2 linked regions of the Drosophila melanogaster genome follow. Each later gene encodes a partner of the first gene's protein in a complex. Each region holds a gene or a part of one and is shown on either strand. Other genes may lie near its edges.

Region 1 (5,842 bases):
CGAGGAGGAGACCATCGAACAGGGCGATGGTACACACACCATCCTTCATATTGTGCCCAATATTCATGGCGAGGAGGTCGAGGAGGATGAAGAGCTCGAGGATGGCGAGGAGGTAGAGCATGACGATGAGTTTGTCACCGTCGACCACGAGGGCGGCGAATTGGAGGTTGAAGATGACGAGGTGGGCTCTATTGTGTTCGAGAGTACCATCGACCATGCCGAACAAGATCCGTATGGTCGCAACAAGACCTTCTACTGTCCCAATTGCGGCAATTGCTACAGCGCCGCCGGCTCCCTGAAGCTTCATATGCGCGCCTGCCTGCGGCAGAGGAACGAGATCTCCACCGATGAACGCAAGTGCAAAGTGTGCAGCAAGGTCTTCAACTCGGTTGCCTACCTCAAGGAGCATATGATGCGGCACACGGGCGAGCAGCCCTTCCGCTGCACCCGCTGCTATCGCAAGTTCGTCGAGGAGAGCAAATTTACCGCCCACATGGAGTCGCACAAGCACCAGGACAAGCTCGAGGCCGAAGCGGTGGCCCTGGCCGCCCAGCACGGCGGCAAGAAGGTGGTCGTCAAGGAGTTCCAGTGCGCCTTCTGCTCGCAGAACTTCACCGTCGTCTTCGATGTTGGCCAGGTGAAGAGACGCTATGCCTGCGACGCCTGCCGCGATAAGTACTCTAATGCGGAGGCACTGCGGCAGCACAAGCAGCAGGTGGAGGAGAAGCGCGAGTTCAGCTGCGTACGTTGCGGCCGCAAGTTCGTTTTCGAGGGCTTCCTACAGCGCCATCTGCCCACCTGCGATGGCAGCATCAAGCGTCGAAGGGACATGAAGTAGAGGCGGCCACAACGTGATGAGCACTGGCGGCGTCGGCAGCAGCTGGAGCCGGAGCGTGATGAGCAGAAATCGCCGCCGCCAGTGCGTTACGTTGTTATCAAGCAGGAGTACGTAGATTAGGAGCAGTAGGATTAGCTGGAGCACGAGCTAGTTTCTAATGATTCGCCCATGCAAAACTCGGACACTAGCCGCCCGGGCCAGGAGAAAGGAGCAGCTGCTGTTTATCTACACGCAAACATAAGTCCACACCCATATTGTATTTTTTGGGAGCCACAACGGGGGCCACTGTCGTCAAGCGATTCCAAAGGAAAGGGTTTATCTTTTACCTAGTTGTACACAAATCCACACACACAGTTGTTTTTTTTTTTATATGATTTCAGGCCAACTCTGCGGTTTACAATTGAAGATAAAAGCATGTCGACGGATGTCGATCATGGCCCATGTATAGATATATATTACTTACTTATAATTACGACTACTTAATGTTAGAGCTCACGATCACCCGCTATTGTGTAATAACCCGAAACTCCAAATACTGACACACAAAACGAGCGTCAAATCGATGTTGAATTCAATAAAAAATAAAAATAAAATAAATCAAGAATGTTTTTCAATGGCTCAAGATTTCTTCATTGCTATTTTAATAATCCCTATTGAATCATAAGCATTTCGTAGTGTTTTATGTTGTGAATTTATTATTTTTACTAAGCAGCAGATTTTCAATTAGATTTTAATTTGGTGACACAGCCAACTGGGATTCCCCGCTGTTGGTGCCACCAAATCCATCTAATTTGGCCATTTTTGAGCACTGCCCGTGGGCTATATTGCAGCTGGACGGCAACGCCCCCGGTTTGGTAAAAATCTCTGGCTACCTCGGGTGGTCCAGCACAGGATTTGGATTAAACACACACAAAGAGAATCGGTATTTCAGCCAATCTGATCTGACATTATAATTGGTCGATACTTTCTTTTTTTGGCGCTTAGGCGGATGATCTACAAACAAAAAGGTGCGTGCTTAGGCATTAACTAATCCATTAACTAGGCCGATTTAGGACCAGAGCTTCAAGTGGGCACGCTTGGCGTACGACTTCCAGTCGGAGTGGGCGTAGAACTCCTTGAAAATGGGCGTGACCAGGGTATCCTCGGGCAGGGTCTTGAAAACGGGCTCACCATACCAGGTGCCCACCTCCCAGCCGGGCACGTTCTTCATCAGCTCGGCCTCCTCGTCCCGATTGCGTCGCAACTGGCGCAGGAATTCGCGATCCCGCTCGGCGACCAAAATGGGAAAGATGACATTCTGGGCGGAACGCATCTCGATCTCGTCGCGCTTCACCTTCTTGGCGGTCAAGTAGTAGATGCCCAGGCCAACGGCTGTCACAACCACATAGGTGCCGATGGTGGTGAAGCCTGCCGAGGGATTGATATAGTTACCAGCACATATATGGTTAGATCAATGGGATTTGGAGGAGCTCACCTGTGAAGTAGCTCTTCGGTGGCACGCGGGCAAAGGGTATCTTCTTGTAGCCGCCCGGCGGTGGAAGGTCCTGTTTCGGGGGACAATGCGGCACTGCCGTCGCCATGGTGACTCCTCCTGTGGTACAAAGTATATATCAGTCGGCTGTTTGGCCGGTAAACTGGGACTTACGCTCGAATAAAGGGAAAAAATCTGTTGAATTGTCAAAAAAATGACGTTTTTTGCATAACACCAAGGCAGTGTGGCCTGACTTGGGGCAGGGTAAAATACCAAGTAGTGACGAAAATATACCAAAAAGTGGCGAATACTGCAAACGAAGTTGAAAAATATTTTCTAACGTGAAAAGTTGAGTCAATTTATTTGATTTATATTATATTATTATCGAAAGACAATCACAACAACAAGTCACAGTAGAACGTGCAAACGTTTATACGGTATTACAGTATATACAGTATTCCGAACTGTTTGATACCATCCCTATATTTATCGCAATCGCTTTCCTGTCAAAATAAATTTTTGTATCCTACATCACTAGCTTTCACATTCCCAAAAACAAGAGAAAAAGCGAACTAGAAACTTCGAAATATCGTATATATTTACAGCTAAAAGTAGTAATGTTCGTACGCCGTTTCGGAAATGGCTCTTTGGGCCATCATTTTGCCTTTCAACGACGTTATTTGGCTAAAAATTCTATGTGGGACTCGAAGTCCATTGGGACTCCAAGTTCATTCCGAATGCGTTCCAAAAAGGATAACGTGACTGGCAATCTCAAGGAGCAGCAACAATCGGCGACTCCGGAAACCTTGAACATGCCTGATATGCAGGATGCCCAAGTGAGTTTTCTTTTAATATAAATCTCCCTTCATCTGATTTTTCCATAACAGCGAGAAAGGTGACCAAGACCATATGACCATAAACAAATTTTATTTAATATTTGCCAAGATCTGTTTTTCCAAATTTCGTTCAAAAATGAATCAGTTTTTTGGCCACAACTTTAAAAATATTTGTCCAAATATGGAGTTCCATATCTCGTTGAGCTCGTATTTAAATTCCCTATCAAACTGTATCCACAAATGGAAATTCTATTTTTTGACCATTTTTCGCAAATTTTGATGATGTTACCCCTTACAAAAAATGCGAAAAATTACCAAAAAATTAGTTTTTCCAAATCGGTCAAAAAGTGATTGGGATGGTTAGCCTTCGCAATTAGCTGCTCAAAACAGTTATTCTTTTCGCTTTGTGATCACTTTTAGTCAAGTTATGATTAAAATGCCCATCTATAATTTTGTAATTTTTGCAAAAATAATTTTTTTCGATTTTCCGTCATAAAAGAATCAGTTTTTTTTTGCCATAACTTTAAAAATAATTGTCTGAATACGGAATGCAATACCTCGTCGAGCTCGTATTTAAATTCCCTGTCGAACTGTATCAAAAAATAGGAATTCTATTTTTTGGCCAATTTTTGCAAATTTTGATGATGTTACCCCTTACAAAAAAAAAATTGACCCAAAAATTAATTTCCCTAAATCCTTCAAAAAGTGGTAGGAATCCTAGCACTGCGAATTCGCTACTAAAAGTAAAAAAACTACTAAAACTAAGTAATTAAAACTACTAAATTGTAAACTGTACGACAAGTTTTAACAAAGTTATGATGATAAACGTCTTCGTGAATATCGAACTTTTTATTGATCTGTGGCCTTTTTCGGCAAAGCTTTATTATAAAACTTCAGTTGAAATATGATTATTTTTTACAAAAGTCGGTGTTTGATTTTCCCGCAATAAAAAGATATTTCCCTCACACGACAGTATTTATACTCTATAGCAAACAGACAATGTCAGGGAGCGGTTTAAAATGCATGGAAATGGGGGGTGTCGACTGGGATAGCTAATAGACTTTTTTAAAATTGGAATTGAAAACTAGTCTGCACTCGAGCAAATGTCAATTTATATGGATCTTAGTAGAGCAAAAATGCATCCAAAGCATATAACATCTATTTCAATTAAATAAGTTGCGTGGGCGTTTTTTTTCAAGTACCAGAGCAGGCAGCCCACCTTAAGTGTGACCTTTCTGGGGGAGAGCGGAAAACGCCGTTGCGTGGGAATTAGCGGGTGTTCTTTGCGCTCGTGCCGCCCCTTCCCGCAGAAAATGCGATTGGCGCCATTCAGTTGCCGCGCAGCTGCTAGACGAGAGACCCACGAAAAGAACACTTCACTTCCAGAAAAAGGAAAGCAAATTTTTTTCTGTGTGTGTGTTTTTTTCTAGCCAAGGCGAAAGTGTTTTTCTTCTACTCGCAGCCGTACGTAATCGCATTGCCATGTCGCTCTATCGCATTTCCGCACGGAAATTGTCCGAGGCACAGGTGAGTTCTTCATTTTAACTTTTCGAATTACCCCTTTGCTTTTCGACCAGTGTATCGAATTCCCATGCTTTCCTGGGATCTCTATCCACCTCCTTCCAGTTAGCTAACCGTAAAGTGTGTCGCTTCTGTTGTTAAAACCTTCGTCCTCTCCCCTCCCTTTCGCTCTTCCTCAACCCATCCCTCATCTGATCCTACTCCTCTTTTCCCATCCTCTTCTTCTTCTTCAACACACGTCACGCTGGAATTGAAAAAAAAAGAATTTCCAGACATGTGCTTGCGATTAAGAACTTTATTCTCTTCATTGTTGTTGGCGAATGATAAGTGCTAACGTGTATGCATGTACGTACGTATGTGTGTGCCTGTGTGTATGTGTGTCTTCTAATACATTACATAATCGCCAAATGAAATTCGCCCATTTCTTTTTTTTTTTGGCAACATCGGAATGCCTATAAATAAAAATCTCTATATTCTTTGTGGGTTTAACGAACTTTGTCTCTTTTTGGGCCGCCCGCTTTAAATTTTTTTTTGGTAAATTTCCACAAGTCCGGCTTGATTTTTTTTGGGTCTTATTCTTGTAAATTTACAACAACAAAAACAAATGCCACGGCGCAGAGCGAAGTGAAGAAAAAGAGCGTAAGGCAGAGAGAGTTGGTCGAGCAAGAGAGAGCAGAGAAAAAAACAGAGAATACCATTTTCCCCTTTCATTCGTTCCCGTTTCGTTTCTCATGCGTGTCACTATGCTTATGCTGTGCTTTTGTTGTTGCCAAAAGCGATAGAAGGAAGACACACCATCTCTCTTTTGCAAAAGAGAAGTGTCCGCCGAATGACCTTAAAGCAAAAGGAGGAGCAGCAGCACGCCCACTTACCACCCACCGGCAATGCACATTTGCATGTGAGCGGATTGCATAATGCCAAGAACGAGAAAAATGACAAAAAGAATAGTACTTGCGATTTTGTAATGAGAAAAATCAATAGCACACACACACACACGTACGTACAAATGTACACCCACGGCGTGCACACATACACACAAAAAAGGGCTTGCAGGACGAGCCTCCTTTTGATTTTTTTCGGGGGTGATTTGCTTTCTCTTTGACCTGCGTGGGGTAATAAGTACACAGGCAAAAAAGGAAATTAAGGTCAATGCGGCAACTTTAATAACAAACAAAC
Region 2 (7,016 bases), on another chromosome or scaffold:
GATTTTAAATCATGCACTTTGTCGTGTATTTATCTTAACATTTGAGCAGATTGACGAAATTTTGGGAATGTTGCGCCTAAAAGACACCCTAAACACCATGGCTCAAAAGCTATCTGGGGGTGAGCGAAAGCGTTTATGCATTGCCCTTGAGCTGGTCAACAACCCACCTGTCATCTTTCTAGATGAACCTACAACGTGAGTATAAGATAAATATTGAAGTCGAAGAACTAATGTTACCACCAACTCAACAGTGGTTTAGACGATTTATCGAGTTCACAATGCATTGCCCTACTCAAAGTTTTGGCCGCCGGGGGGCGCACTGTGATCTGCTCCATCCATACGCCATCTGCCAAGATCTTCGAGATGCTCGATGCAGTCTACGTTCTAGCCGAAGGCCAGTGCGTCTACCAAGGAAAGGGGTCCAACATTGTACCTTTCTTGAAGAACTTTGGGCTTTGTTGTCCAATAACCTACAACCCGGCTGACTTCATTATCGAAGTTGCTTGCCTTGAGTATGGCGGGTCCTATCACGAGCCAATGGTAGAAGCCGTGGGCAACGGCAAAGTTGCGCGATGGAGTCCTCCAGCAGTGGAAGGTGAAACAACAACAACCAAAACCGACACCACATCGGGGGCATCGTCGTTTTACGAAAGGGATCAGTTTGACGAAGAGATTAGCCCAAAACTTTTGGAGGCCAAATGTAGCTGGTGGCTACAGTACAAGCTATTGCTTGTGCGTATGCTAATCCAAATGTGGAGAGATAAGGTGAGTGCACTTAGAAAACGACGTAGAAAGGCAATGTAATTTTATTTTTTCCGTAGTCGTACATCAAGCTTAAGTTCTACATGAACATCGTTCTTGCTTTACTGGTGGGTTCGCTCTACTTTGGTATGGGAACCTCGGCCTCTAAAGCGCTTTTTAACTTCGGTTTCATGTTCACCATTGTGATAGCATACCTCTACCTTCCTATGATGCCTGTGCTCTTATATTGTAAGTACTATATTTTAACCTCAAGCAGTAATTCTTAATAATAAATACCTACATTTAAGTTCCCACGGAAATCAATCTGTTAAAAAGGGAGTACAACAACCAGTGGTACCGTCTGAGCTCCTACTACGCAGCAATGGTTACCTCAAAGCTACCATCTATGTTTATTTTGGCCGTTATTTATCTATCCATTGTGTACTTAATGTCCAGCCAACCACTTGAATGGTTCCGCTTTGCCATGCTATTTACAATAGCTTTCGTAACGGCCCTAACTTCCGACAGTTTTGGCTTGTTGATCTCCAGTAGACTGAGCTTAGTGGTAAGCGATTTGGCGCACATTTATTTTTAATATATCCTGATTAGTTCACTTATACTTTAGAATGCAATGTTCATGGGGCCAGTTCTCGCCGTGCCGCTGATCCTGCTTTCCATTTACGGCATTGGGTATGGCGGAGGAACATACATATCCCCTCTTATGAGGTTTCTCATGCATCTTAGCTACCTTCGCCATAGTATGGAAGGCCTAGTCGCATCCTTGTACGACTACGGACGCGCCGACACAATTTGCGAAGACACGGAAATCTTTTGCTCATTTAAAAAGTCGAAAGTTTTGTTAGCCTTTTTAGGATTCGAAAACATGCACTATTTGTGGTCTCTATCTTGCTTGATGAGTTTTTATTTGCTGTTCACCGTAGCAGCATACTTTATGATTAGACTGCGACTGAAACACTCCGAGGTCAGCCCCATTTTTGCATATGTCATACAGCTGTTAACGAAATATTTTAACTTTACTTCGTACAATTACTAACATTAACAACATGGGCGGTTTGACCTCGGTGCTAGAAAAATTATTTTAAGCGGTATTTCAGGGGACAGTCTTAACCTCCCATATTATTTATGGGCTTCAATAATATTAATAAACTATCAAAGTGATATTGGATTCTGAATAAAAGTTTATGATCAAGAATACAAATATAATCAAGGGAACAATAAATTACTATAATTCGATCATATTGTTAACAAGGCAGAAGAAACACTACGAATAAATTATTAAGTACGCATAAAATTGTTTTCACCAAATATGTAAAAAATATTAGTGGGTTTACTTTTTTATGCGATGGCGTAAGTTTATATGTATATCATGGAAATATTAAATATAAACAAGAGAGAATACTATAGTCGAGTTCCCCGAATATCAGATACCCCTTACTCAGCTAGTGTAAATGCGGACGCGAAATTTCATAATTTTTCTGGGTGTGGCTGTTTTGGGCGGTTTTAGGGAGTTGCAAAAAGTTTTTTAGAAAATCGATCTATCGATTTTTACAAGACTAATCAAAAATGAAAAAATTTCAACACATTTTTTAAAATTGTGTAAAATTTTTGAGTGGGCGTGGTAACAAAGGTCAACAAATATCTGTCTCTAGAATCTGTGTGCTGAATCTCAACGTTCTAGCTTTTATAGTTCCTCGACGTTCAAACGGACATGTCTAGATCGACTCGGTTATTGATCCTGATCAAGAATATGTATACTTTATACAGTCGGAAACGTTTCCTTCTGCCTCTTACATACTTTTCAACGAATGTAGCACACCCTTTTACTCTACGAGTCACGGGTATAAAAATATATAGATGTAGATATGCTTCAAATTGCATAAGAGTTAGAATCAAGTCTTGCCCAAGATTAGAATTTAGGATTGAGTTAAAGATCTGCGCCGTTCGTTACCAAACTCTATCTGCCTTTAGACTAATTTTAAGTCAGAACGGCAAAGTATGACTTCGCCTGTTCCCTTGATTCACTTTAAAGTATTCAAATTATTTGGTAGCTCTATCAATTGTGATATGAGCCGTCACAATAAAAACCGACAAAGTTAATTATGGAAATTATTTGAACAACTGCCGTCGCTGTGGATTGGCGCACAGTTGTCTATTTAAGAGGCAAGGAAACTGGACTGCCGTGAATACAGTTGATCGATAGGAGCCAAAGCAGTATGTTTTACGCATTCATAGCACTTGTTTTGGCCATGCTCCACCTGTCATTCGCAGTACAGGTGCAAACGGAGCACACCATTGTGGAGGAATGGAGCTGGCAAGACCATCACAGCAACAGAGACTTGGGAAGCTATAACTACTACACAGCTCTAGATTATGATCAAAATTTCGACGGTGATGAGAATTCAAACGATAATGAATATGAAGAGGATGATGGCAGGGCTACTGCCGCCGGCTTGGACCGGGATGAGGATCCGTGCGAGCGCAGCTGTCCCCGGTACTACCGGCCTGTCTGCATTCTCCGCAATGGCCGCAATATGACATTTGCCACGCTCTGCGAGTTCCACAATCAAGTACGTTGTGCCAACGATCTAAGAAGACAAGGTCATGGCTATGTGGTCCCCATCTTTCAATACCAACATGATGGTGGCTGCTAAACAAAATGATTCATTTAGAGTGGTTTTGCTCAATCAAAGAGTCACATTCATGACCAAAAAACTCGAAATAGCATTTCAAAACATAAAGCTCAAAATTCTTCATTCCCTCCCTGGATAATGAAGATTCGAAAAGCGATGAGGACACAAATATGGATGAATTTGAATGGGATGATTCTCCTACCAGCTTGGACCAGTGTGACAGTAAAGGCTCTCTTATAGGACATCAGCTTGACAACAGATATAACAACTATCAAGGAAAATTGTATTACCTACATAAATAAGATTGTACGGCTCCAAATGTAATTCAAACAAAATAAAATGTGTCCGAGATACAATTCCTTTTAACGTATGTATGTTCGTTTTCATGTTTACATGTCATTATTGTACATATGTATACAGTTCTAATGTTATTATAACTGTATACTGAAACTGTACTTGCGCGACTTAAAACCTACATGTGTATGTCATTTATGTACATACATATACAGTTTGTATGTTATCTTAACTGTATCCTGAATCTGACGGTAACCAAAACGCATGCTTAAAAATGATATGAAGATCGTAACCTTTTGCAATCAAAATTTTAAACACCAATTTTTGCGACTTTGATTGGTACATATGTACATATGTACGTATATAAATATGTAGCTCGCAAGCTCACATTCACACAAACATATGCATATAAATATATTTAAAGAAACAAACAATTTCAATCATTTACCTTTTAACGAATGCAGCATTCCGCGCTGTTGGTACAGCTTATAGGGCGTCATACTAAATGCAATCATGGGAATTAATTTAAACAACGGAATCTTTACCAGCCTCTCTTGCCTGCGATCGCGTACAAATCTTCGACATGCAGATCAATTGCGTTGGTTAAATAGCGCACAGGAGTGACCTGTTGTTTTTGCAAGACCGCTGAGAATAACACTTGGGACACTAATAAAACTACTTCTACTATTAATTTCACTACACTAAGTCCGGCAGCTGGGAACTCCGTCAGATTTGTGAATTTACATTGCTTAGCTCTGCGCAAAAACCAATACGCAAACCGTTAAAGAATTAATCACAATGGCTGCGCGAATAACTGTTGATTGTGACATATCGATATATCGATTGCATTCCCTGGATCTTGGCGTCTGGATAAGACTGTTAAATTCAAATTTTGAATTACTAAAATCTTTACACATTTCTATAAATTACCGAATTTCAGAAAAATAAATATTAATATTGTTGCAAATATCCCATATAGTAGGCGAAACAATACAATAACTAAAAATAAACTGTCATGAAATTTATTGCAATATTCATATGAAAAATGATTTCTTTTAAAGAAAATTGGGTTTCTTGTACACAAATATTTGTAATTTTTTATGGGCGCTGTCTCATTATGTTTTTGTGAAAAACCAGGGTTATGATGACTTTATTTGGTTGTAAAGACATTGCAAATTCTGTTGTTTGTACGATTAAAGTCTTCATTCTGCGCATACCGGTAAAATTATACTTTTCATATTTATCTTTAATATATTTTTGTAAAGGAAAATACATTATCTTATGGTTGGTTACAGAAAATACAAAGACAGAGTGTAATGTACATACAATCGAGTTGTTTAAAACTTTAGGTTTAACATATACAACGCATACAACAAATAGAAATGTTAAAAGAGACAAAAATAAGTTTACAATGGGGACATGAGAATGTTGCATAATTTCTAGGCAACGGATTTAATTGTTTTATACAATTTCCATAGACACCAACATAATTAAGTTGCATGATAATTGAAGGAGGTACTAACTACTGCTTTAATTTTTACTGAACTGACCGACACTATACTATGTATATGCATAACTAAAGCTCATCAATTCTTTTGGAGCTCTCTATTAGGTATATATGCGGGTATTAAGACGACTAAAACTAGTTCCGTGTGAGAAGACTACACACATCAGAATGGTTTAAATTATATAGCGAAGAGCACAGCATAAGTTAGAGAAGAAAGCCCATAAGAGTTGGCAAGCCTATGCCGCCTTCTCCTCTGACTTTAGGCTTTAAAAACGACACTAAAAATTACGTTGGTGCTTGGGTATCTGTTAATTTTGACGCTGATGAATATAAGGATAGCTTCGACCTTTTAGCATATGGTGACTGCGGTTGCAACGCTTCAGCGTCTAGTCAGTTGTCAATCTCCAGAGGCTTGGCCTCCTCCCACGAGAAGCCCGCGCGACCGAAGTGTCCATAAGTGCTTGTTCGCTGGTATATCGGCTGGCGCAGGTTTAGGTCCCTTAAAACAAAAATATAGACAATTGTTATGAAATATTTTTTAGCATCTAGAGTTTGACACTTACTTGACAATCTTGCCGGGCCTGAGGTCAAAGTTTCGACGGATGATATCCAGAAGTTCTTTTTGTGACTTGTGAGAAGTTCCGTAGTCGAACACAGTTATGGAGAGAGGCTCAGCAAGACCTATGGCGTAGGACACTTGGACAAGGCAGCGCTTGCAGAGACCGGCCTTAACCAGTGATTTGGCCACCCAGCGTGCTGCATATGCAGCTGATCTGTCAACCTTGGTGAAGTCCTTGCCAGAGAATGCACCGCCGCCGTGGGCGCCCCAGCCTCCGTAAGTATCTACAATGATTTTTCTTCCTGTAAGCCCAGCGTCACCCATTGGTCCACCGATTACAAAAAGCCCACAAGGATTGATGTGGACAATGGTGTTGGCATCAATGTATTTGGCGGGAATGACTACTTTAACAACTTTCTCCATTACTTCCGAGCGCAGGGTTTCTAACGATATCTTTTCAGAATGCTGCATGGACACTACAATAGTGTGGACACGCTTGGGAACTGCTGATCCCTGATTGAAGAGGTACTCGCAGGTTACTTGTGTTTTGGAATCGGGGCGAGCCCACCAGAACACATCTGAGCGACGCAGCTCAGCAATCTTTTCGTTTAGTTTGTGAGCCAAAACGACGGTTAGGGGCATACATTCCTCGGTTTCGTCGGTGGCATATCCAAACATGATACCCTGCAAAAAGTTTATTTCGCTTCATTAATAATCTCTATCACTAATTAATTAATCATTAATTATTCACTTAAAAGTAACCAAAACCAAAAAGAATCAGTAGCGTTAGATAAATAAAACACATTTGGGTTAGGAAAGGGTAAATCAAGCATGGGTGATAGATTCGGGTATGAATTAATTGTTGCTACTTAGGAGTCAAAAAGTTGTTTACAAAATTATGTTAGTGATGTATATATATGCAGTAGTGTGCCTTAGTTTTGTGTCTGCTATTCTAATTATGGTATCGACTGAAAAGTCAAAAGTTAAATGATATGGATTTGGCAGCTTCAATTAACAAAAAAGACGATCATATGGTTGGTAGGTCGGTTGGAGCAATATTGCAGCGCTATTATGATATAGTGGCAAACAGATGAATTTAAAATTAAATAGCAATAAAGTCGTCATACACTACTTCAATTAGTTACGAAAATATATAAAGGAAACGATAAACAGAAATTATAGAAGTGGCGACAACACCCCTTCCAAAGAGCTTATAAACGCCCTACCACCATGAATATTTTAGTCGCAACTAAATTGCTATCAA

The links. Proteins that work in one complex are often made in the same cells at the same time.
Region 2: the proteins of ND-B16.6 (region 1) and ND-15 are in contact, whole or in part, in a cryo-EM structure (PDB 8ESZ), measured with the Drosophila melanogaster proteins. Residues at the interface, in NP_001284943.1 of Drosophila melanogaster: Leu79, Glu82, Arg83, Glu86, Phe87, Gln90, Arg93, Glu97, Glu98, Leu101, Met102, Asn104, Val105, Trp108, Gly111, Thr112, Trp113, Glu116, Pro117, Val118, Phe119, Lys120, Thr121, Leu122, Thr129, Pro130, Ile131, Phe132, Lys133, Glu134; in NP_001162841.1 of Drosophila melanogaster: Phe30, Lys33, Asp52, Leu53, Ser55, Asp56, Glu59, Cys60, Met63, Lys65, Gln66, Leu67, Met68, Arg69, Phe70, Ala72, Met73, Arg74, Glu76, Arg77, Gln80, Glu85, Arg86, Phe92, Ala93, Asp94, Pro95, Pro96, Arg97, Val98.

The regions. Positions count from the first base shown.
Region 1 is NC_004354.4:6,347,810-6,353,651, forward strand, and holds ND-B16.6 (NADH dehydrogenase (ubiquinone) B16.6 subunit), read right to left. Parts: upstream 2,593-5,842; 5' UTR 2,484-2,592; intron 2,430-2,483; 5' UTR 2,419-2,429; coding exon 2,313-2,418; intron 2,246-2,312; coding exon 1,887-2,245; 3' UTR 1,207-1,886; downstream 1-1,206. Other genes in the region: CG3847 (uncharacterized protein), read left to right, coding at 1-838; kdn (knockdown), read left to right, coding at 2,927-3,145.
Region 2 is NT_033779.5:112,110-119,125, reverse strand, and holds the start of ND-15 (NADH dehydrogenase (ubiquinone) 15 kDa subunit), read right to left. Parts: upstream 4,401-7,016; 5' UTR 4,135-4,400; intron 3,762-4,134; exon of another isoform or gene 3,414-3,761; coding exon of another isoform or gene 3,009-3,413; exon of another isoform or gene 2,638-3,008; intron 2,157-2,637; exon of another isoform or gene 1,796-2,156; coding exon of another isoform or gene 1,367-1,795; intron 1,307-1,366; coding exon of another isoform or gene 1,050-1,306; intron 991-1,049; coding exon of another isoform or gene 822-990; intron 766-821; coding exon of another isoform or gene 252-765; intron 196-251; coding exon of another isoform or gene 50-195; intron 1-49. Other genes in the region: CG4822 (uncharacterized protein), read left to right, coding at 50-195, 252-765, 822-990, 1,050-1,306, 1,367-1,795; CG13694 (uncharacterized protein), read left to right, coding at 3,009-3,413; Sam-S (S-adenosylmethionine synthetase), read right to left, coding at 5,584-5,692, 5,757-6,436.